Arabidopsis thaliana: one gene and its partners. The protein of the gene in region 1 interacts with the protein of each later gene in a pairwise test. Each region holds a gene or a part of one and is shown in the gene's direction. Other genes may lie near its edges.

The links. The genes of interacting proteins can lie anywhere in the genome.
Region 2: the proteins of AT5G61890 (region 1) and AT5G42910 interact in a two-hybrid assay, tested with the Arabidopsis thaliana proteins (one large-scale study listed by BioGRID).
Region 3: the proteins of AT5G61890 (region 1) and ESC interact in a two-hybrid assay, tested with the Arabidopsis thaliana proteins (one large-scale study listed by BioGRID).

The regions. Positions count from the first base shown.
Region 1 is NC_003076.8:24,847,334-24,855,730, reverse strand, and holds AT5G61890 (Integrase-type DNA-binding superfamily protein), read left to right. Parts: upstream 1-1,789; 5' UTR 1,790-1,986; coding exon 1,987-2,233; intron 2,234-2,592; coding exon 2,593-3,092; 3' UTR 3,093-3,409; downstream 3,410-8,397. Other genes in the region: AT5G61880 (Protein Transporter, Pam16), read right to left, coding at 4,219-4,341, 4,469-4,596, 4,734-4,821, 5,131-5,133; AT5G61865 (uncharacterized protein), read right to left, coding at 6,025-6,285, 6,377-7,000, 7,667-7,732, 7,808-7,915, 8,142-8,336. UniProt on the Arabidopsis thaliana protein: Transcriptional regulator of cell proliferation and axillary bud outgrowth. Involved in maintaining the structure of the shoot apical meristem as well as plastochron and phyllotaxy.
Region 2 is NC_003076.8:17,199,677-17,207,366, forward strand, and holds AT5G42910 (Basic-leucine zipper (bZIP) transcription factor family protein), read left to right. Parts: upstream 1-4,065; 5' UTR 4,066-4,231; coding exon 4,232-5,176; intron 5,177-5,269; coding exon 5,270-5,371; intron 5,372-5,469; coding exon 5,470-5,535; 3' UTR 5,536-5,704; downstream 5,705-7,690. Other genes in the region: COR27 (cold regulated protein 27), read right to left, coding at 1-36; AT5G42905 (Polynucleotidyl transferase, ribonuclease H-like superfamily protein), read right to left, coding at 1,738-1,765, 1,899-2,647; THO5 (THO complex, subunit 5), read right to left, coding at 6,634-6,900, 6,988-7,122, 7,208-7,690. UniProt on the Arabidopsis thaliana protein: Could participate in abscisic acid-regulated gene expression.
Region 3 is NC_003070.9:7,268,767-7,276,058, forward strand, and holds ESC (Putative AT-hook DNA-binding family protein), read left to right. Parts: upstream 1-3,789; 5' UTR 3,790-4,257; coding exon 4,258-5,193; 3' UTR 5,194-5,306; downstream 5,307-7,292.

The DNA.
Region 1 (8,397 bases):
CTTGATTTCTTTTACATCAATACTTGGAATTTGAAGATATCTGTTTTGTGCAGCTTAATTTCTTCTATTGATAGAGAATAGTGAACGTCCAACAAAAAAAAAAACATTCAAGTTACAGATGAATATTGTTTTGCATTTTCAACTAATGATTTGACATATGGAGAAAGTGTCCAAAAAGTAAAAGGTAAAGACTGTTATATCAATTATGTAAGAGACTGATAATAACCATAGAATTCCCAAAAACAATTTTTTGTAGATTTTTTTTTTATAGTTGTTATTTTGTTAATTTAATATATTTTTAAACATGTGTATCATATATATCAGAATCATTTCTTAAAAACTAAAACAATGATTTTTTTTTCTTAATGAATATTGCATTATTTGCGGATAATTGAAAATAATAAAATTATGTTATCAAAATGTTGAAAACGTGAACAAATGGCTATTGATCACACTATAAATTTTCCGTCAAATAAATGAATAGTTAGGTATCACATGTGATCTAAGATTTAGATGAGGGTGTCCAAAGTGAAGACCAAATACATTTAACAGTAAAGCTACAGTTTAGAGAAATTTTGATCATAAACATAAATAAACAGCTGGTTAGGGAAGTGGTAGTTGAACCTAACACCAACGCAGTACACACATGATCGATCAAGTTAGTCAAACTGGCTGTGGATTACATTTACAAGTCTTACATTATTATATCCGTACTTGTCACACATTGTACATAATTTCTTTACCTGTCAACTTAGTTAGCTCTTGACTTTTTTGAGTGAATAATTTTTCAAATGTCAAATTTTTTACATACAAGCCTATAATATGTAGATAGGCAAGAGCTCCATTGAGTAAAAATTAAATACCTCCTTTCGGACGTAGAAACGTGTACACAACCCTAACACTTGCAATTTAAACAATTTCTACAAAATGTAACACTAACCATTTAATCAATTTCATCATACTACGACATAGAACAATAATCACTTTGTTTAACTCAATTCGAGTGTGTACACGATACTTGGATTTAGAGGTTTTTAAAACGTCTTTTGTGTTGCAAATTTTAGTCAACCAGTCTTTAAATAAATTAATAGGTTCACTTCTTACGTACGCAAACTCATATTTCCTTTTTAATTCACGTTTGGATCCACAACAAGGGTGTCGGTTTACATTATATTATAGATTTTCTTAATACCTTTTTCTTGAGAATGCAGGTCGATTTTTGACGAAAAAAACAATGTGTCGGTTTAAATTACATATACAACTAAGACCACGACAGTGCTTTTTATAGTTTAAATTATAATTTAGACAAAAAACACTATTAGTCTATATCTTTCCCTCAATTCCATGAATGTGTTAAACCCTTTTCACACAAAATAAATGATTAAACAAAACATGAACATGCATGCGCAATTTTCCTCTCTTCTTTATTTTATTCTTTTCACTTTTGCATGTTTAGTTTTCCCATCTCGTGTAGTATTTTATAGTAATCTTTATAAAATATCCTCTCTTTTGATATTTAAATACACATGCACTTTCCTCAATAAGAAAAGTTTAACAAACATTCTCATTATACATGCCTTCATTACAAAACATTGATCCGTACTGGTCGTACAAGCATATTTTTTAAATACGATAACAGAAACAAACACATATAAGAAATTATTAAATACGAAAGAATGTGAAAAAAAAAAAAAAAATCAAACTTAAAACATATTTGTTTTAGGTCATATGTTCACACGTAGAACGAATTCCTCTATAAAAGCCTCAGAAAATTGCTAAACCCCCCCAAAAAAATACTTTACTCTCTCTTTCTTCATTTACTTCAATCTAATTTCTTCTCCTTATCATCCTCTTGTTCTTGATGTTCAACGATGCCATAAAGAAAAACTGAACAACCCTAAAGTACTGTATAAATCCTATATCAAATTTTTTTTTTGGAAGAAAAGGCTATATTTAAAAGAAAATCAAGCAAAAGTAGATCCTCGGATGTATGGGAAGAGGCCTTTTGGAGGTGATGAATCTGAAGAAAGGGAAGAAGATGAGAACTTGTTCCCGGTCTTCTCGGCCCGATCTCAACACGACATGCGTGTTATGGTCTCGGCCTTGACTCAAGTAATCGGAAACCAACAAAGCAAATCTCATGATAACATCAGCTCTATTGATGATAACTATCCTTCTGTGTATAATCCACAAGACCCTAATCAACAAGTTGCGCCTACTCATCAAGACCAAGGTATATATATACATGCTCATATCGATCTTTGAATCTTTTTTGGTTGAAACAATGTTAGGATATATTGAAATTATGTGCAAATTTCATATCAGAAGTAAATCTCAAACTTAAAAGGTTATTATTATACTGTTTATTTCAATACTCATTTACCAAAAGAAAAAACGATTAGGCTATTACCAAAATGTAATTTTTAACATGGAGATTTTGTTGGTAGTATATGGTTTCAGCACCAATATTAGGTGACGATATATATTTATACACATAAACTATGAGCATATACAAAGTTTACATACTATGCACATGTATGAGTAGACCATACCAAAGATTTTCTGATTTCAACTTTTGTGATTTCAATAAAGGGGACTTGAGGAGGAGACATTATAGAGGTGTAAGGCAAAGGCCATGGGGAAAGTGGGCAGCTGAAATCCGAGACCCAAAAAAGGCGGCACGTGTGTGGCTCGGGACATTTGAAACCGCTGAATCTGCGGCCTTAGCTTATGATGAAGCAGCCCTAAAGTTCAAAGGAAGCAAAGCAAAACTCAATTTCCCGGAGAGGGTTCAGCTTGGAAGTAACTCTACATATTACTCCTCCAACCAAATTCCACAAATGGAACCACAAAGTATACCGAACTATAATCAATACTATCATGATGCGAGTAGTGGTGATATGCTAAGTTTTAATTTGGGCGGTGGGTATGGGAGTGGTACCGGATATTCAATGTCTCATGATAATAGTACTACGACTGCTGCTACAACTTCTTCGTCTTCTGGTGGCTCTTCTAGGCAACAAGAAGAGCAAGATTATGCCAGATTCTGGCGCTTTGGGGATTCTTCTTCCTCTCCTCATTCGGGATATTAATTAGGAGATTTGATCAGTTACTTGTGATGAAGTAATGATACATTTCCCGTCAAAATTGAGATGATCATATGCTTCCTGAATGTTTTTGAGTGTCATTTTTGTCTTCCGCGTTAAGATTTATTGAACGTGTTTTCTTGTTTTTTTGGTTAATATCTTGGAGGTTTTTGGCTCCTACATACATGACAACATAACATCACCGATTCGAACTTCAACGCACGATAAAATGCATTAGATAGTTGATATACATTATACAGATTGCAAATATAGAGTATCGATTATGGTGCAATTAAATACCATAAAGAAAACTACGTTCCGTTGATGTTTGACCAGTCTTTAACGCAATACTAATGTAGTCTACTTTCATACCATCGATAGTGTAATATTTAGTTGACTTTAAAAGTCTTTCTAAATCAGCATTAATTGTAGTGTGTGGATCACGAAATTCGGCGGTCGACAATTCGACATAAAATATATAAAAAGCTTCATTCTCGTTTGGATCGGCTTAGACGTGTAATAGACATCGATTCAACTTTGCTAAACGCTCTTAAACCCACTTGAAGTCTTGGACTTGGACTTCAAAGTCAGACACCACTTGGTTTAGTAGCTACTAGCTAGTGCAACTCTATCAATTTAGTTGACTATCAAATAAAATACAGAAGTATTCCACTAAATCCAAAGTGTATTTGAATCTACATGACTAAAATCGTAAAAAGTATAACTAAAGATGTATAATTATGAAAAAAAAAAAAAAAAAAAAAAAATTGCAAGTCCTATTTTTTCGTAGACTAATAGGAACGTGTTCGTTTTATCTACGATTTTGTTGGTGATCAATATATTTGGTAATTAAAATGAAGTAGACGGATTTTTCAAACTCAGATAATTCAATAGACATGCTAGAATTCAACTAGTTTACCTAAGAACTAGAAAAGTCAATATTATTAAACAAAATAACAAGACTTTTAACAACGCCGGTGAGTCGGTTACTGGCAGCATTCCGGCCATCACCGACCTTGTCTCAATTTCAACTTTTGCGGCTATCTCCACTCAATTTCAAACTTCTGTCCTAAAACTATAACTTGTATCAAAAGATATGTTCCTGATTTGCTCCTATTGTTTTATTGCTTGTTCATGCGCTTGTTGTTGTACTCTTCTGGTATGCAGTCTCTAAGCATTCCTTAGCTCTATGGACCTTAGATTGGAGATAGAAGCTTCCATTCTGCGCATTGCGTTCGAACAACGTGTCGTATTTCTACAAACATAACATATAATCTCAATGAGAATAAGGGTCTCTTTTTTCAATCAGCAGTAGAAACTAGAAACTATAAACCGCTATTCGCGTTTGCACAGCCAGCCCGGGGTGAAGTGTGAAGACAAACCTTAAGAATCTCGTCCCAAGATGATTTCTCAGTTACACCAAGAATCTGTCTAGCTTCTGCTTCACCTATAGTCAACCCTCTCTTAATAGTCTGTGTCGCTTCATGCGCAACCCCGGTTTTTGATGCATCTGTAAACCATTCCAAACAATGTTTATCAACAATTTCGCAAAGTAACTTACACTTACACACACACAATACAACGAATCTTTGATAAATTCATTCTTGCCCAGAAAGAAAACAAGAACATTGTAATTAAAAGACATACTTGCAAGCGCCTGACGATATGCCTGAGTACAAGCCCTGGCTATGATTCCAGAGCCCATCACAATCACACTTGCCAAAACTCTTGCAGCCTTGCACACAAATGCTCAAGAAATTTCAATACACGTTAATCAATCACTGAGAACAATTTCTTGTTGAAAGATACACTAATAAAAAAGAAAATTTCCTATGCAACAATATTCAATCAAAAACCAGCTCAACTTAAGGATCTCTACAAATAACCAAGGTCATGGAGAAGCAACAGTTCTCAATATTTTAGTGATGATTTCACTTGTAAATTTTTATGAGCTTCTAAGAAATTTCAATAAAATTGGCTCTAATCAGAAAAAAAGTGTGGACTTTGAAACTAGAGAAACAATCGGTCGGGAAATTACACATACCATTGTCAGAGATTACTCAGACCGATGATTGGAGACTTCGACCGATATAATACCTGAAATGTAAGTACGGTTTAAGATTTCTCGTAACCGAATACTGAAAAGAAAAACACGACGTAGGATTCGAAACAGAGACAAGTCGAGTGTAATGAAGATAATCGATTTTGAGAACCTTACGAGGAAAACAAGAGACGGTAATACGTTTATGATTTTTTTTTGGAGTCGAGGAGCTAGGAATTTGACGACCACGGTGATCCACCCAGTTCTGCGTTCTATGACGGAGGCGGAGAGAGAAACTCAGAGTTTCAGGTGATATCATCAACAAGAACCCTAACCGACGTCGGAAGATGATTTGGGCCTACATGTAAAAAGTTAAGCCCACTATTTATAAAACGTGGGTATTGAAGTACAACCCCCAAGTTTTTCAAGAAATTCTATTTTGGCCCCACTATTTATTTTTTGAAGATTAATTAAACTTTGATCATCCCAACTTTTCATTCGAAAACTCTTGCATAGGTTGATACAATGTATCCAGTAACATAACAGATTAGATGGTTCGATTTATGCAATGTAGTTAGAAATATAATGTTTGTATGTATCATTGTGTTTATTAGAAGTTAAGTTGGTTAATCATTATAGTCACCAGGATTAGCTAGGGTCCATAGTTATACAAAACAAAGGTTTCGGTGCAACTCTAACAAAGACGTTTTGTTTCTGACTGTTGAAACACCATCTCAAGAAATTACCAAGACTTATTAAAGTGTAACTAATGACAAGATAAACGAGTATTTTATTTAAGGTGCTTAAGTGTTAAAGAAGCTACTGGATCTCATTGTTTTTCAAAGCGTAGTGAAGATAGATTCTGATGCAATGAGTGAGACGTGTGCTTTAGTTTACTTACCTCCAGGTTACTGTTCTAGCAGACGGTGACAAACCAAGTGGGATCAAAGCATCAGGGCGTGCGGTTTGAGAACTTAACAGTGCTTGGCTCCTAGTCCTTCGGCGATTGTACACCAATGTCTTCTGCTTTGTGTCTGATTGTCTGATGAGTTCTTTAGGTCCCATTGGACTCTCTGGCTCTTGTTGCTTTCTCCTTTTGCTCAGTAGTTCCCAAAGTAGTTTCTCTTCGTGTTCTCGGCTTCCCTCTGTGCCTATACGCTACATGGACAAAAGGATGAAACAAAAACCCTTTTAGCGCTTACTTAATCATTTGAGCTTTCACAAACAAAACTCATTATCGAAATTTTACCTTGCCGGTAATAGAATGTTCAGCTTGTTTCTTCTGACTCGCGGGTAGAAGAAATTTGGCAGATGTTGTCATCCTCTGAACTTGATCTTCAGCTTTTTTCAGCTTTGATAAAGCGTTGATCTTTGTCTCTTCTGCAAGTCTAATCCTTTCTCTAGCATCTTGTAGCTCTCTCCTTGTATCTGAGTTTGATCTCTCCATCTCATTCACTACATTCATCAGTTGCACACAAGGGCCATGCTTTATTTCAGCAGCCAAGTTGCCTACGTACTTGGTCATCGGGTGACACATATTCTTTGCTAAAGCCTGCATAAAATCATTGACTCCAGTATCTACTGAACCAAGCACCTCGTTGATGTTATTAAATAGTACGCGAAGGAGCTTCACTGTGACAGGGAAAGTGTCATGGTTTTGGCTGTGAACCGAGCTTAGGTAATAAAGAGACTTCTGGATGAATTCTTGGAAGAAGGTTCTACGATCGTCAACCATCTGCAGAATATCTTCCCGATGTGAATTCACCTGTGTTTCAATGTGCTTAAGCATATGAACTAACTGTCTCAGCTGCCCCTTATGCTTGTGCAAGATCTCTTTCCCCGCTGTTTCGGCTTTAGCAGCATAGTTTTCTTCCTACAAAATCATGATACTTCAAATGAACTTCTGAGGAAGAAATCCACTCAAAGTAGGCAGAATTATATATTTAACTGCAAGCTCCAAACCCACATGAAGGTACAAATGGTTTTCCAAACAGCTTTGTGATGCAATTGATTAAAATTTGAAACAGAAAGTGTAGAGAAGACAGCATCTAAACTATATTCCCTATTGGTTCTCATTAATCTATAGCAGAACTAGCCAAACATTAATAACGAATCACCAGAATGAAACTTGACTAGGCACATCACAGTTTCATGATCATATTTATTAGTCTGCATTCACTCTATACCAGAATTAGGTATACATGTATAAGGAATCACCAAACTAAAACTTGACTAGACGCTTTACAGTTTCAGGATCACATTGTTTGGTTTCACATTCAATATCTAGTAAAATTAGTCATACTAAATAGGCAATCACCAAAGTGAAGCTTGACAAGACCCGTTACAATTTCAGAATCATATTGCTTTTTTCGCATCACATCTATAGTAGAACAAGGGATACACATATACAGAATCATCAGAATGACACTTGCCTAGACACATAACAGTTTCAGAATCATATCAATTGGTTCACGTTCAGTCTTCATTATAACTAGGCATACATATGTTATAAGAATCATGATGTATACTACTATACTACCTTTGAACTGCGAATTTGAATGTTCAGATCACCAGACCGTGCAGTATCCATATGATGATACCTTTCCTGATGAAAATTAGAGTAATGATCTGAAAATTTGCAATTTCATGATTCTACAAGAAGATGATTGATATCACTCACAGTATTGAAAATAAAGGCGGAGTGTCTCCCTTCACTCTCCATCTCCGACGTTTTCAGCCCAACCAACTTCATCAAAGGGATCGCCAGAGAATCGAAAACTTCACCTGCCTTTAAATTATCAAATTCTCTATCAAATTCGTTGCAACACCCACAATTGTTCAAATTAAGCTTGAAACTACCAATTTAAAGAGTACGCAACACTCGGAATCGTTCAAATCAAGCTCGAATCTACCAAACCAGATAATAGGATTACCTCTCTCAAATTCGTTTGAATCAAGCTTAGATCTACTTAGAAATCGAATCTAACAAACTAGAGAAGAGCATTTATCTTTACTTCGACAAGGCCGAACGCGATCTGCGATTGGAGTTGATGGTACGCCATTTTCACTTTCTTGGTGCGATCGACCAGTGTCGCGAGCTTATCTCGGAGATCTGGCGCCGATACTGCTGCAGCACTTTCCTCCGCCGTGTATTGCGCCGGAGAGGCCTGGAATCTCCGTGGATAAAACGCTCTTGGCGGGAACTCCATTGTAGGAGGAAATCAGTTATCACACAAGTCCGAAGAGAAATGGATTCGAATTTCAAACAGT
Region 2 (7,690 bases), 7.6 Mb from region 1:
ACGGCTACTAAAGCGTCCTCTGTAATCACCAACCATTGTTGGCTTATCTTTGTGGAGAGAGAGAGAGAAGAAGAAGAAAATGAAAAATATCAGAGAGAAAGAGAGAAACAAAATATCAAAAGAAACGATACAGTTGTAGACGCTTTTACACGTGGGTAAAGTTGCCACGTCATCACCAGTCAATTTGGCGGAATGAAGAGATGAAACTTTTTGGTTTTAGATATTTCAAACACAAAAAATATCAAAGATATTTTCTTCAACTGCAAAATATCTTCCACCGTCCTCTTCTCCTCTCTCTTGATTATTCTTTCTTTTTTTCTTTTTTGTTGCTTTTGGTTTAACTTCTCTGACTTTTTTTTTTTGTTTATGATATTTTCTCTTTTTAATCAATGGAAAGTAGACAACTCATTCTTAGATATTTATAAATAATTTTATAGATTGCCTTTTTTAAGACGGCATTTTAGGATTATTTATTGGGACGATTCACTTTTCTTATTAGAATAATTGTACCACATGCAATGAGGATTAACGATGATTATGAAAATAGAAATAAATTGACTATTACATGTCTCTTTTGGAAGAGTGTTTTTTTTTTCCCGAGACATTTTTTGTTTTATGAACTGATTTATATGATTTTATTTTTATCATTTAGCTAGTTAGGGTGGAATTAATATGTGATTATTTCATGTATTATGTGAATTTCTAATTTATCAAATTATTCTTCTTTTCATCATATGTAAATATATTATTTATAGTGTTATATTATATTTACCATGTCAAAATATTCATTCACGTGAATATTAAATAATGAGATTGTAAACGTAAAGTTTAATAAACTTTTGCGCTAAATTCTACCTAAAAATAAATTTTGAATACTTATAAATAGGTATATTCAATTTTTCTGTTTAAGAGAAATGGTAAAATATTAAAGTGGAGACATAATCTTAGGGAATTGAAAAGTAAAAAAAAAGCTTACAGTTTAGTTTTAAGATAGATCTATGATTTTCAAGAAAGGTTATACAAATGATCAGTTTGGATCAATATACTCTACCATGTAAGATTCTATGAATTATAAATTACCCATTTAACCATTTTAACTTATCCAAATAATAAAAAATACTTAAATACTCAGTAATCTTAAGAAACAGGAAAACTCCTTCAATTTTAGTTTAAGATAGATATACATCTTTTCAAGAAAGGTTACACCAATGATGAGTTTGAATAAAAATAATTTACTCTACCTTGTAAGAGAAGGGTGAGTAATTATGTGAATATACAAATTAATAAATTGTAAATATGTCTTCTATCGTAGTGCTTATTGATTGTTGTAACTCTTTGCAAAATATTTATTTAAGACTTTTAATTATATGAAATAATTTAAATTTTAGAAAATTGTATTTCTTTTTTATAAATTTTTATCTATACATTTTCAGTTAAGGTTTTGTTTTTCTCCTTAAGTTTTACTTTTGCTCTAATTTTCCTATCACAACTCTTCGTTATAGATGGTTGTGTACAAATTACAATTAAGTATTTTAAGAATGCGTATCTTTATCTTAACTCTTCTTAAATAAATTTTTATTTTATAATATTTTAAAAATTGTATATATTTATTATTAATTTTTTGTTCGATATTTTTTTTATAAAATTATGTCCAGTCTTTTTTTGGTAAGTGACCGGGAGACAATTGCCTCCCGTGATTTATTAAGAAACTAAAGAAAAGTTACAAACGAACTCGCCTTAGTTGAGTAGACCCAAGAGTATCCTCCTTCAACAAAGATGACATCGCATCGGGAACAAAATCAAAAGAATGAAAGCCTAAAGATAACAAAATTGTATAGTTTGCTAATCCGTCCGCAAGACAATTAGCTTCTCTATACACGTAAACAATTCGGACCAACCAGTCTTTCTGTAGAAAGTTGTGGCACAACCGCACCAGGAATGACAGCGGATGAGAGTCACTAATCCCTGTTTTGAGGAAACCCACTATCGCCTCTGAATCCACCTCCAACTCCACTCGAGGCACCTTCTTCTCCCATGCGAAATACAATCCGTAATACACTCCCCATAGCTCTGCATGTTGAGCTGAGCATCGGCCTATATTTAGAGAAAAGCCACCACACCAAGCTCCTTCACAATCCCGTAGTACTCCGCCTGCAGAAGCCAGCCCCGGATTTCCACGAGACGCCCCATCTGTGTTTACTTTCACCCAACCCACACATGGAAGCACCCAACCAATCAGCCGTTCAACTCTAGGTTGCGTACTTCCAACCAAAGCGTTACCCAAATGTGCTCTATACACTTCCACAACCCACTCTTTAACAAATTTCACACGGTCCCTGCATTTCGTGTTCTCCCCAAATATATTACTGCATCTCCACTTCCACCCCCACCATATTATCACCGCAAAAATGGTGGACCACGGTATATCCTCACAGCTACTCCTATCACACAAGTTATCATAGAGCCATTCAAACAGAGATTTCGAAAAGAACCCCTGCTGCCTCCTTCGCGGCACAAATCTGACCCAAATCCCCAATTGAGCTGGACAGTCTCTAAACACGTGAAGCACAGATTCAACTCCACCTATATAAACCTGAGACACATTCGAGGCGCTAAGATGTCTTCGATGCCGTTCCTCATCTGTCATAACTATGTCCAGTTTGGTTATATATACTTTCTGTTTATACTTATATTTATATATATTTTTCCTAAATATAACTATTACTTTTGATTATTTGTTAAACATGTCCATGGATTTAACTCAATCTCAATAAATGCTTCTTAGTCTTGTGTCTCTTTATCATAATTTGTTGTTGAATAAATTTTTTATTTACCATTGTAAAAAAAAAACTGAAAATTTGCGTAAAATCATTGTAACTCTTCTTTTCTTTTCTTTTTGACTTTTTGTCAAACGTTTTCTTAATCATTATAACTCTTCATTCGATATGTTTTCAATTAGGATCACATCTTTCACTATGATGTTGTTCTACTGCTAATATAGTCTCGTTAAATGCTTTTGAGGGTTACGTCCATTTACCATATTCTTCGTAAATGTATCTTATATTAGTTATGGTTAAAAACATATTTTCAAGGTTGTCTCAATCTATTAGAGTCATGTCTCTGTGTCATAAACTTTGATTTCACCTTTAGCAGATAATTTTAATCTTATGTTTTTATATTTTTTCATAGTATTTTATAATATACATCATTTTGAGTTCAAATTCTTTAGTAAATTTTATAAAAATTTAAAATATTTTATCGTGCAACACCACCTATAAAAAACCTATAGTCCACCCTTTTTATCTTCTTTTCCTTAGTTATTGTATCATTAACAAAAACTCCAAAAAAAAAAACAAGAAAATATGTAAACCAAAAGCCAAACATCAGTTAAAGTTACAAATTAAAGCCATTCATGGTCTAAATTTCTAAAAAGAGAACCACCCGCTAACCTATTATCAAGTCAAAAGGATAGTTTTCCATGAATTCATTTGTGTGGTGCGATTTTGATTCAGTAGATTAATTACCATGAAATACATCATATCAATTTACTAATTTTATAAATATTATCTTTGGATAGTTACCGACGTTCAAATCTACATAATGCAATAATGCATGTTGTTTACAACAGCATTGTGTAATTTTTATTAATAATCTAATCATTTTAAAATTTTATTATTTAATTAAATTAATTTAAATATAAATAAATACTTATGAAAAATATCTATACAAAAATGTAAAAAAATATATTTAAAATTATCAACTCATCTAGATCTTTCTTATATTTAAAAAGTTAACTTTCAATTACTAGATAGATACACTAAGTGAGAAAGGTAAAATAAATTATTTGCTCCTTATATAGTGTTTTTTATTTATACAAATTGTTGTTTTATTAGATCCCTTTTATTCTAGATTTTTCTTACTTCATTTGGATAATGTGCTTAACTCAGCTTAGATTTATTATTTTATTTTATTTTGGGTTAATTGCCATACATTAGTTTTCTTATATATTCAATTACTCTTTTGGTTCACTGAAACTTATGAGAAACTTTTAATCCAAAAAAAAAAAAAACTTATGAGAAACAAAATGAATATTTTTCTTGATCATTTCTCTCTCCCTCTGTTTTAAAATTTCTCCTTTCCTCTGTTTTGCATGATTTTTAACCTCAAAAGCTCTTACATTTCAACAACTGTTTTCTAAGGCCACTAATCACTCGGATTTGTGTCAGGTGAAATGGATAGTTACTGGAGACTTAAAAACTTGGTGAATGATTTGCCAGTTAGTACTTCTTTAAGCCGACAAGGATCAATATACTCATGGACAGTAGATCAGTTTCAGACCAGCTTAGGGTTAGATTGTGGATCAATGAACATGGATGAGTTGGTTAAGCATATATCAAGTGCTGAAGAAACACAAGAGGGGTCGCAGAGGCAAGGCTCAACTACTCTGCCTCCAACACTTAGCAAACAAAATGTTGGTGAAGTTTGGAAATCTATCACAGAGGAAAAACACACCAATAACAATGGAGGAGTAACAAACATTACTCATCTTCAGGGACAACAAACCTTAGGGGAAATCACTCTTGAAGAGTTTTTCATCCGTGCTGGAGCAAGAGGAGGTAATACCAATGGTGGCTCCATTCATGACTCATCGTCATCGATTTCCGGTAATCCACACACTAGTTTGGGTGTTCAGATTCAGCCAAAAGCCATGGTTTCTGATTTTATGAACAATATGGTTCCAAGGAGTCATGATTCTTATTTGCATCAAAATGTGAATGGATCTATGTCAACATATCAACCACAACAATCTATCATGTCTATGCCAAATGGTTATTCTTATGGAAAACAAATCCGATTCTCAAATGGTTCCTTGGGATCTGGTAACCAAAGTCTCCAAGATACGAAGAGAAGCTTGGTCCCAAGTGTTGCGACAATTCCAAGTGAAGCCATAACATGTTCACCGGTTACCCCATTTCCAACATTAAATGGGAAACAAAAGATTAACGGTGAGTCTTCATTACTCTCACCATCTCCATACATTAGTAATGGTAGTACTAGTACAAGAGGTGGGAAGATTAATAGTGAAATTACCGCGGAAAAACAATTCGTTGACAAAAAGCTTAGGAGAAAGATTAAGAACCGAGAATCCGCAGCGAGATCACGGGCTCGAAAGCAAGTAAGAAAATGTTATATATATATATATATATTATCTATCCATCTTGATTGATTGTGTTTTATAAGTACCAAACTGCTCATTTTTGCTCTCTAGGCTCAAACTATGGAGGTTGAAGTTGAACTTGAAAACTTAAAGAAAGATTATGAAGAGCTACTAAAACAACATGTAGAGTTGCGGAAAAGACAAATGGAACCAGTAATCTATTTATTCCAATCTTATTTCCTCAACCGTACATCAATTAAAAACTTGAGAACCTTGTTCTAACTTTTTGTATATCTAAATAATACGTGAAGGGAATGATTAGCCTTCATGAACGACCGGAGAGAAAGCTGAGGAGAACGAAATCGGACATCAAGTGAATCAATGAAACCCGAGTTGGAGGATGATGATGAGTTTATTTTGTTCATCATGTTTTGTTTTCGTATATTTTTGACCAAATAAGCTATTTATTAGACATCTTATTCTTAAACCCATTTGATAATGTCCTAAAGATCGAATTCTCATGGTCTAGGGGAAAATCCAAAACTTATTTTTATTGGAGCCAGAAAATACTACTATTAAATATTATTATTTTGGCTTTAGAAAACAATGTCATACTAATCTCAACCATAAAACTATAAAATTATATTATAGGCTCAATAATTGCTGCTAAATTTTTTCACTATTGATTCATTTGCAATATACAAAAATAACTCCTATAATAAATCAAAAAAATTCAGTGTTGATTCATTTGCAACAAAACACGAAAAATTTCACTGTCTTTTGTGGTTGGCTTTGTTCTTCCTGGGACATGGGAGTGAATTTAGCAAATCGTGGTTCCTCTTAGGTCTTCGTTCATGCCTTTGATTTTGCTTTGTCTTTTTGATATGTAAAAATTTACGTTTGACAGTTTTCCTGTAATTTAGGGATTCGCTTCCTTCTTTTGGATTAAGTTTTTGGGATGTATTTATTTTCCGCCCGCTCTTGTAATTCAAACTTGCATATTTCCTTGGTAATTGTACTTAAATAAGATGACAAAAAAACTAAAAGTTAAAGTAAATCAAACTATATAATCACTTGAAAGTTATAAACTAATATCCAATTTGATTTGGTTTTGTTTTCTTCACTACCTCCAATTGCAGGAACAACATTTGTCAATGATTGCAGTAGCAACCTGTAATAACGGTTGTCTACGAGTTGATTCCTTTTTTTTTCTCCAAAACCTGTGACGAGCCCTTTTTCACTTTTCTAGTTTCCAAGCTACCCGCTAGGCTTTAATGCTTAAATCGAGACCAAAACAGAGCAGGCTAAAACGGATTGGACTTGAAACATTGCCAGGTTTAAAACAGACCAGGTCCTCACCCAACAAGTAGGCTGTTTCAATAACGGTTTATACGATAAAAAAATGTTACATGCAAAAACTTTTGCTTGTACCACCAGAGAAAGATAATATAGAGAAGTGAGTGGCGATGTAATCTCTAGCATGGATAACCCGATGCACATCCTCTGCCCTTCCATGAGATCATTTTCCGGTGATCTCTGCCTCTGAATGATCTCACAAGAAGCTTACCGTCAACAGGCTTGCACAAACCGACATCAACCACAGTTGTGGCTGTTCCTCTTTTGGAATCTGGAGATGGGTCATCCACGTAATAGTCGAACAACATTGCTAAGCATCTGATTTGATGAGATAGGAGATAGTTTTCTTGATCTGAAGGAATAATCTTCAACATATGAAGGTTCACCTGATACCGCCACGAAAAGGTTACAAAGGCGTTATCTTTGGTGTCATCGAGTAAAGATTAGTATATGTTACTGGGTTTGACACTTACTTCTGCTTCCATTGCTCGAAGTTCATTGTAATGGTCACTTTCATTTGTCCCATTTTCATTTCCTGATGAAGAAGATGCGTGGAGAGACAGAGAAAACAAAGGAGGTCGAAGAGGATACTCCATGCTAATTTGTACCTGCCAATACAACTCGATTTAACACTTAAGAAAGAAAAAGATATAGGGAAGATACCGTATTAGAAGATAGTGTTTTAGAAGTTACCATTGCTTCTAACTTCCACAACTTTCCGCCATCTGTTTTCCTGGAGAACACAAGCGCAAACTCTCTCGAACCATAATCCACCCATGAATTATCAGCTTTCTCAGGGCATAACTCTTCCACATGCGCCTCAGTTCTTCCGGTTGGCTCATCTATTTCACTATCATCGTCCAGAACAAGATCCAAATCATCTTCGTATTTCTTGAAACTTGGGGACTTTCCTTTGCTAATCGGAGAATCTAGATTCTTTGTCATCAAGGCCAACTGCCTTGACCGTGCTTGATTAGATACTTTCGATGGGGTATGATTGGAACTGGTTAACGAAGCAGCCGCCGTGACCAAAGAGGGAAGTTCTCCATCTTCCCGTATACTTTCAAAATCTTCTTTTCCAGAAATAGATCTTCCATCTACATCGATTTCCATAGGTTCTGGAACTTGTTCCACACTGTTCAGAGTCAGAGAGCATGACTTACTAGCTGAAGATTG
Region 3 (7,292 bases), on another chromosome or scaffold:
CGTTTTCATCTATCCACTTTATCAGAAGATCATTGCCAAATATTTTAACTAAAGCAATTTAATTTACTCTAATAATGTGCAACTCATCGTTACGTATTTCTTCTTGTACAAAGCTAACATGCGGGGCATGTTAGATTCCGTGCGACAAACTAAAAAGTATGATTTGATTGATAATTTGATATAAAGAGCTCGATTAGACTTGTTGATTGTTTTCTTATCTAAGGATTTTATGCATCCATATATTCATTATCAACTATGAACTATCAATGAATAATATTTCCAAAGTATGATATTTAGTAAATTAAATTCTGAATTCCTGATAGAAGGGGGAAAGTCTTCACCCGATTGATGTTCGAGTTTTTGGAGAAAATATAATCAAACTTAGCTGAGTTAGAAACTCGTTATAATACATGTTCTTTACTTGGTTTAAAAAAAGCCACGAATTGATAAATCAATACTTTTTAACTAACGTACATAAAATTAATGAGAACTGAGAGTTCAAGACTAGCTAGATTTTTTTTTTCATTTTATATACAGCGAACTCATTGCTTACACTTTCAAAACTATAAAAACAAAATTTAAAGGTGCTGTAGAGAATAGAATCGCTATGTAAGTATAAACTTTAAGGATGGCATTAATATCTTATATACATCTGGCTCGTGGTATTTTGATTGATGAGAAAAGAAAGCAAAAAAAACAAAAGAACATAAATATAGAAGTTAAATTAGCATACTGATTGATGGGTACGGTATCCCTAAATCATCACAATTTTTTGCCCATATTATTTATTGTTAAAGAGGGTATGATATTTAGTCTCACGACCTTTACTTTTTGTTTGATGTTTTTTTTTCTAGATATAAAGAGCCAGCATTTTATTCACCAGTTGTTGGATTTCCCTAAAAGAGATACCCTTTCGTGATCGCATGAGAGCAGACTGGGGAGATACATATATGGAGTAGGGGCGTAGGCTGAAGAAGCAATAGCTAGCCACAATAAAAAGAAGAACAATAACAGCTACAAGATCATCAAGGGATCAATTATGAACCGAAACCAAATTGATATTCTTTAGTGCCTCCGAACCTCACATATCTACTGCATCCTTACGAGATATTTTGGTCGTTGGGAAAAAAAAAAAATATATATATGTTTTGATCAGTTTACGTGTTTGTCGGAACAATTTAGAACTGCTTTTATTCCATGTTTGGTAAATATATAAACTCTTATGGATACCAAGAACTTAACTTAGTTTTCTCTAATGAGTTCTCTAACATTGAATTCCACGCGACAGTAACTGGACGTCTGAATTCATTAATACATATATAATCTTTAATTAATGTGAGAGAAATGTGTTCATGATCTAGACGAGTAGCGACAGCGTCATAAGAACTTAGGTACAGTCACATATTTATAGACTTGGATGACGTGTAGTTCTCTCTCTTTATGGCTTAAAATTAAATTATATATCACATGAAACACCTCTCACTTTTCTGTTTTGGGGGCAAATAAAACATATCTCACTTATTTTCGAAGTATCTTGATAGTTCCACACATTCCGTTTTCGATCGATAGAAAAAAATTGGACCAGTTTATGATTAAAATACCGCACACAAAAGACTTCACGTACGTTTTTGCTTTTAAGCATTAGAAATACGGGCAAAAGACGCGAAAGTAAGTTAGATAGATTCGGGAGGAGTACTGTGATTGGATAAGGTATTGACCAAGTACCGATGATCCGACCGCCTCCACGTGGTCACACAGCTTGGCTTTCACTTTCATGCTCTGACCTTTTGACCGCACGTGACTTTTGTCTGTGCACGTGCGGACCAAGCTAACGTGTCCGGTTCAAGTACATTGCACCGAGCCCTGACTCGCCAGGTTACGCCGATGAAAACGACGGTTCCTGGGTCCCACATGCCATGAGGATGGACGGTTCCGATCCACTTCCTACTTTCCTACTGAGATTGGTCCCACCATGGTTCAGGCCACATGCGTCCACGTTGAGGGAGCTTAGGTGTTACTATATGGGTGCAGTTAAAAATTAAGACAACCAGTCACGGTCCGATATGAGGTCATGCATTAATGGGTCGGATCGAGTTTAGTCAGTTCAATAAATTAAGATGAATAAGTCAATAATTATTTGAATGGGTTGATGCAATTGGTAAGTGTTTTCAGGATTATCGTTTGTTTCCCAAACAATTTTTGTAAATTAAAAGTTTGATATCATTTGTATGAAGATGATATATCAAAAAAAAATTTTACTAATACATTACTCATTCTAAATCAATAAATTATCAGTGTCTAGTTGTCTTTTTCTGGTATATTTTTTTGTCCATGTTAGAAAAAGCGTAGTTCTAATTAGTGATTCACCAAATTCGACATAAGGCAACAAAGTGGAGTACTTATCAATAATTTTTGAAAATATAAAGTAGTAGTATCAACTAATTTGACATTTTGATAATTATCAGCTAGTCTTATCACATTAATGGATCATTAACTTTCTCCAAACTTATCATCAAAAAGGGTCCACTCCGTTTTACGATATTTAAAGGAGTATACATGGGTAGATCTCACTATCTCAGTATAGAACAAAGGACCATTACCTAGATTGATTGTTCTACGTTATGCGCCTTATGCCCTCTTGACAATAAAAGTGAATATAAAGTACTTTAGTAGAACATTGATTCTTTGATATATAATTAGCTCGGGTTTAGCAAGATAATTTAGTAGCAACCAAAAAAAAAAAAAAACACATCACAAGCAGAATTAATCAATTGTTGTTCTGCAGCGCTTAAAAGTGACTAATTCTCTTCTTCTTTTTCTATAGTAAAGATGGTTCGTATCCGTTTGTTTATTATAGAACGTGGGTTCTTCTTAGAATATTGTATTCGCAAGCCATATACTATATATCTATTTTAAATTATTATACATTATATTTTTACAAAATTAGTTGACAAAACTAATAATAATACTATACATGTAAATTTTTTTTCTTTTCTTCTTCTATATAACTCACGTTCTGCATCCAGTTTGAATATGAATAATAACATATATCAGCAGCACTATGCAAATCACAAGCCTACAAATATCTAGTAATAATGCAAGTTTATACTAAGTTTTACAATAAAAAGATGCGTAAGTAAATTAAAATTCTAAATAAAATGACCTATAGTAGTATTTTCTCAAGTAAGAGAAGACTAAATAGTACTATTTCTCATTTTTACTTATACGAAAACCTTTTAATTAAGTTACTAAAACCATAAATAAGTTAGTAACATGATAATAACATTTATCAAATAACTTTTGTTTAAACATAACCTCCACGCGCCTTAAAGGGAATGTAGGATTCGTTTTAATCCTTGTGTACCCAACTTCCACTTGACATTTTTTTTTTTTTTTTTTTTTTGTTAAATGATACGTTTTCTTTAGCTCGTATATAATAGTATCTGATAAACAAATTGACCAAATGTTATCTCTTCTGTTAATCTTATCTCATGCTTTCAAATATAAGAATTCCTTCTCTAAATTTCTTTTGTATTATCCGATTGGAGCCAAACAAAAACTGCGACGAACCCCTAGTTTTCTTTGGTAGATCTTATGTAAGGATAACCACTTACACACATAAATTTTTTTGTCGGCATTTGTGTATATGTAATAAATAGTATTAATTTACTTAAAAAAGAACATATTATTCAAATAATAATTATTATATTAATGATATAATAAAGGGGACTGTTTCTCCGCTAAATTCTCGGTGTATGTCTTTGCTTTTACTTTCCTCGTTCAATGAGAGGACCAAAAATTTATTGCAGAGTCGCACATGAATCTCAAGCTTCTCTCTCCTTTTTTTCCCATAGCACATCAGAATCGCTAAATACGACTCCTATGCAAAGAAGAAGCTACTTCTTTCTCTTGCCCTAATTAATCTACCTAACTAGGGTTTCCTCTTACCTTTCATGAGAGAGATCATTTAACATAAGTCACCTTTTTTATATCTTTTGCTTCGTCTTTAATTTAGTTCTGTTCTTGGTCTGTTTCTATATTTTGTCGGCTTGCGTAACCGATCACACCTTAATGCTTTAGCTATTGTTTCCTCAAAATCATGAGTTTTGACTTCTCGATCTGAGTTTTCTTTTTCTCTCTTTACGCTCTTCTTCACCTAGCTACCAATATATGAACGAGCAGGATCAAGAATCGAGAAATTGATTTGAGCTGGCGAATAAGCAGTGGTGGGATAGGGAATTAGTAGATGCGGCGGCGATGGAAGGCGGTTACGAGCAAGGCGGTGGAGCTTCTAGATACTTCCATAACCTCTTTAGACCGGAGATTCACCACCAACAGCTTCAACCGCAGGGCGGGATCAATCTTATCGACCAGCATCATCATCAGCACCAGCAACATCAACAACAACAACAACCGTCGGATGATTCAAGAGAATCTGACCATTCAAACAAAGATCATCATCAACAGGGTCGACCCGATTCAGACCCGAATACATCAAGCTCAGCACCGGGAAAACGTCCACGTGGACGTCCACCAGGATCTAAGAACAAAGCCAAGCCACCGATCATAGTAACTCGTGATAGCCCCAACGCGCTTAGATCTCACGTTCTTGAAGTATCTCCTGGAGCTGACATAGTTGAGAGTGTTTCCACGTACGCTAGGAGGAGAGGGAGAGGCGTCTCCGTTTTAGGAGGAAACGGCACCGTATCTAACGTCACTCTCCGTCAGCCAGTCACTCCTGGAAATGGCGGTGGTGTGTCCGGAGGAGGAGGAGTTGTGACTTTACATGGAAGGTTTGAGATTCTTTCGCTAACGGGGACTGTTTTGCCACCTCCTGCACCGCCTGGTGCCGGTGGTTTGTCTATATTTTTAGCCGGAGGGCAAGGTCAGGTGGTCGGAGGAAGCGTTGTGGCTCCCCTTATTGCATCAGCTCCGGTTATACTAATGGCGGCTTCGTTCTCAAATGCGGTTTTCGAGAGACTACCGATTGAGGAGGAGGAAGAAGAAGGTGGTGGTGGCGGAGGAGGAGGAGGAGGAGGGCCACCGCAGATGCAACAAGCTCCATCAGCATCTCCGCCGTCTGGAGTGACCGGTCAGGGACAGTTAGGAGGTAATGTGGGTGGTTATGGGTTTTCTGGTGATCCTCATTTGCTTGGATGGGGAGCTGGAACACCTTCAAGACCACCTTTTTAATTGAATTTTAATGTCCGGAAATTTATGTGTTTTTATCATCTTGTGGAGTCGTCTTTCCTTTGGGATATTTGGTGTTTAATGTTTAGTTGATATGCATATTTTGGTTTCTCGTGTTTATTTCTTTTCTTCTCATATCTTCGGTAGATGTTACATGTTAGAGAAATGCATGTGTCTCGTTATGTTAGAAAATTCCTTTCCATATATGGCTTTCTTTTATTCATAGCTAGGGTTTCGTGTTGTACCCTATAACTATTATTATAATTAGCTCGATTTGATAGATATATAGGTCTAGACTATTCAATAATGAGTTCGTTTGTTCTTTTAAGAATTTTGAGCTTCACGGCGTATTCTTGATGAAATATTATGTGGGCACATCTCAGGCGCTCATTTGAATATTTTTACAATACGTCAATACGTTACCTTAATCATAGTATAATATAGTTCTTTCAACTTTTTAACAACCTCAATGTAGTATTCATTATAAGGTTAGAAAATTATTATACATATTGATCAATATATACGTTTTGTGCATCTAAATTCATTATTCGTACCATTTGAGTACTTGTAGCGTCTTTTAGCCGAGTATACCTTTTAAGATCACAACTTCTGTGTCATATCTATCTATCTATACGGTGTTATTGTGTTAAGAGTACTGTCATATATACCCATCTATATATAAGGTGTTAAGAATATGCTTACATATTGATCAAAACGTGCATCGTTCTAAATTTTGTAGTTAACCACTTGCCTGATTAGAACGTCTTTTTAGCCGTTTGTACTTACAGTTGAAAATTCCATTGATTGGTGTAATTGGCTATTTAATTACGACAGGGCCGTCTAAGCGATCTCGAGTCTTACCATCTAGGAAAACAACATGGGCAATTTTTAAACTATTTAGCGTTCATACAGTTTCTAGTGTTTTAAAAATACTACATGTATACCTAGTGGCCATGTTATGACCTTTTTCATTCGATCACTACAGTTACTTAATTACATGCATAAAATATGCATTAATGCTTCAGTTAATTAACCGTCGATCCTGTAAAATAGTTGTATCCAACATTATTCAAAGACAGGTTGGCAACAAGTACGTAGCTTTAAGCTAATATTTATAGGTCACATATGCACAGTACCATTTATGTTATAATCGTAGTTTTTGGTTTGAGATTTCCAACCCCTTAATTTTGGCTGGTATGGAGAATTTGTCTCAACTCTCAACCAACACTTCAAATACATATTCTGCTCTTTCTCAATCTATATATATTTCTGTCCCAACAATTTAAATATATATATGGAATATGGTTTTATACCGGTTTATATATTACTATTTTCGTGTTTCTTCGTCACTACAAAATATGAGTTTTTATATATATATATATATATATTGATAAAAAGAACGAGTAAATGATATTGGGGATACTTGTCTAACTAGAGAGATAAAGAGTGAAATTCTATATTCTGCTAAAACTAATCATATTCGTTAAATAGAATGGAATCATTATCTAACATCCCACTGAAAAGTAAACAAATTCATTCATAGAAGAATATGCTTCTGCTATTATGCAAAATATATAACGAGGGGATTACTTTTATTTATTTCATATCTCATACTACATCTTTATTATTTTCCATTTATTCATCTAATCTTTAACCATTTTTAGAGCATAGTATTGTTTTTTGGGATTTTAGTCAATGTATATTGGTTAAAGACAACCGTTACAGAGCACAGTAGAAACATGAAGTAGAGATTATCTCACGTACGTCGGTTACATACAAATTAGTGAACTTAACATGGTAAGATTAACAATGAACATAAATCATTTGTAGTGTCAGTTAAGAGCTAGTCTCTGTCACAACATAACAAAAAATGGGGTTTTGATTACCAAGATATGTGAAAAAGAGGAATGTTCCAATTCCCTAGGGACATATTTATTGACTAGGAACAAAAGGAAGCTTAAGCAAGTAGTAATATTTTTTTATTTTTCATGAGAAAGTTTTAAAGTTATTTAAATGATACCAACATACTAAAACGAATTATAGTTAACTACTTTCAGGTAGCTTTGTTACGCCTATTCAGCTATAGGTGCAATATGGGCATA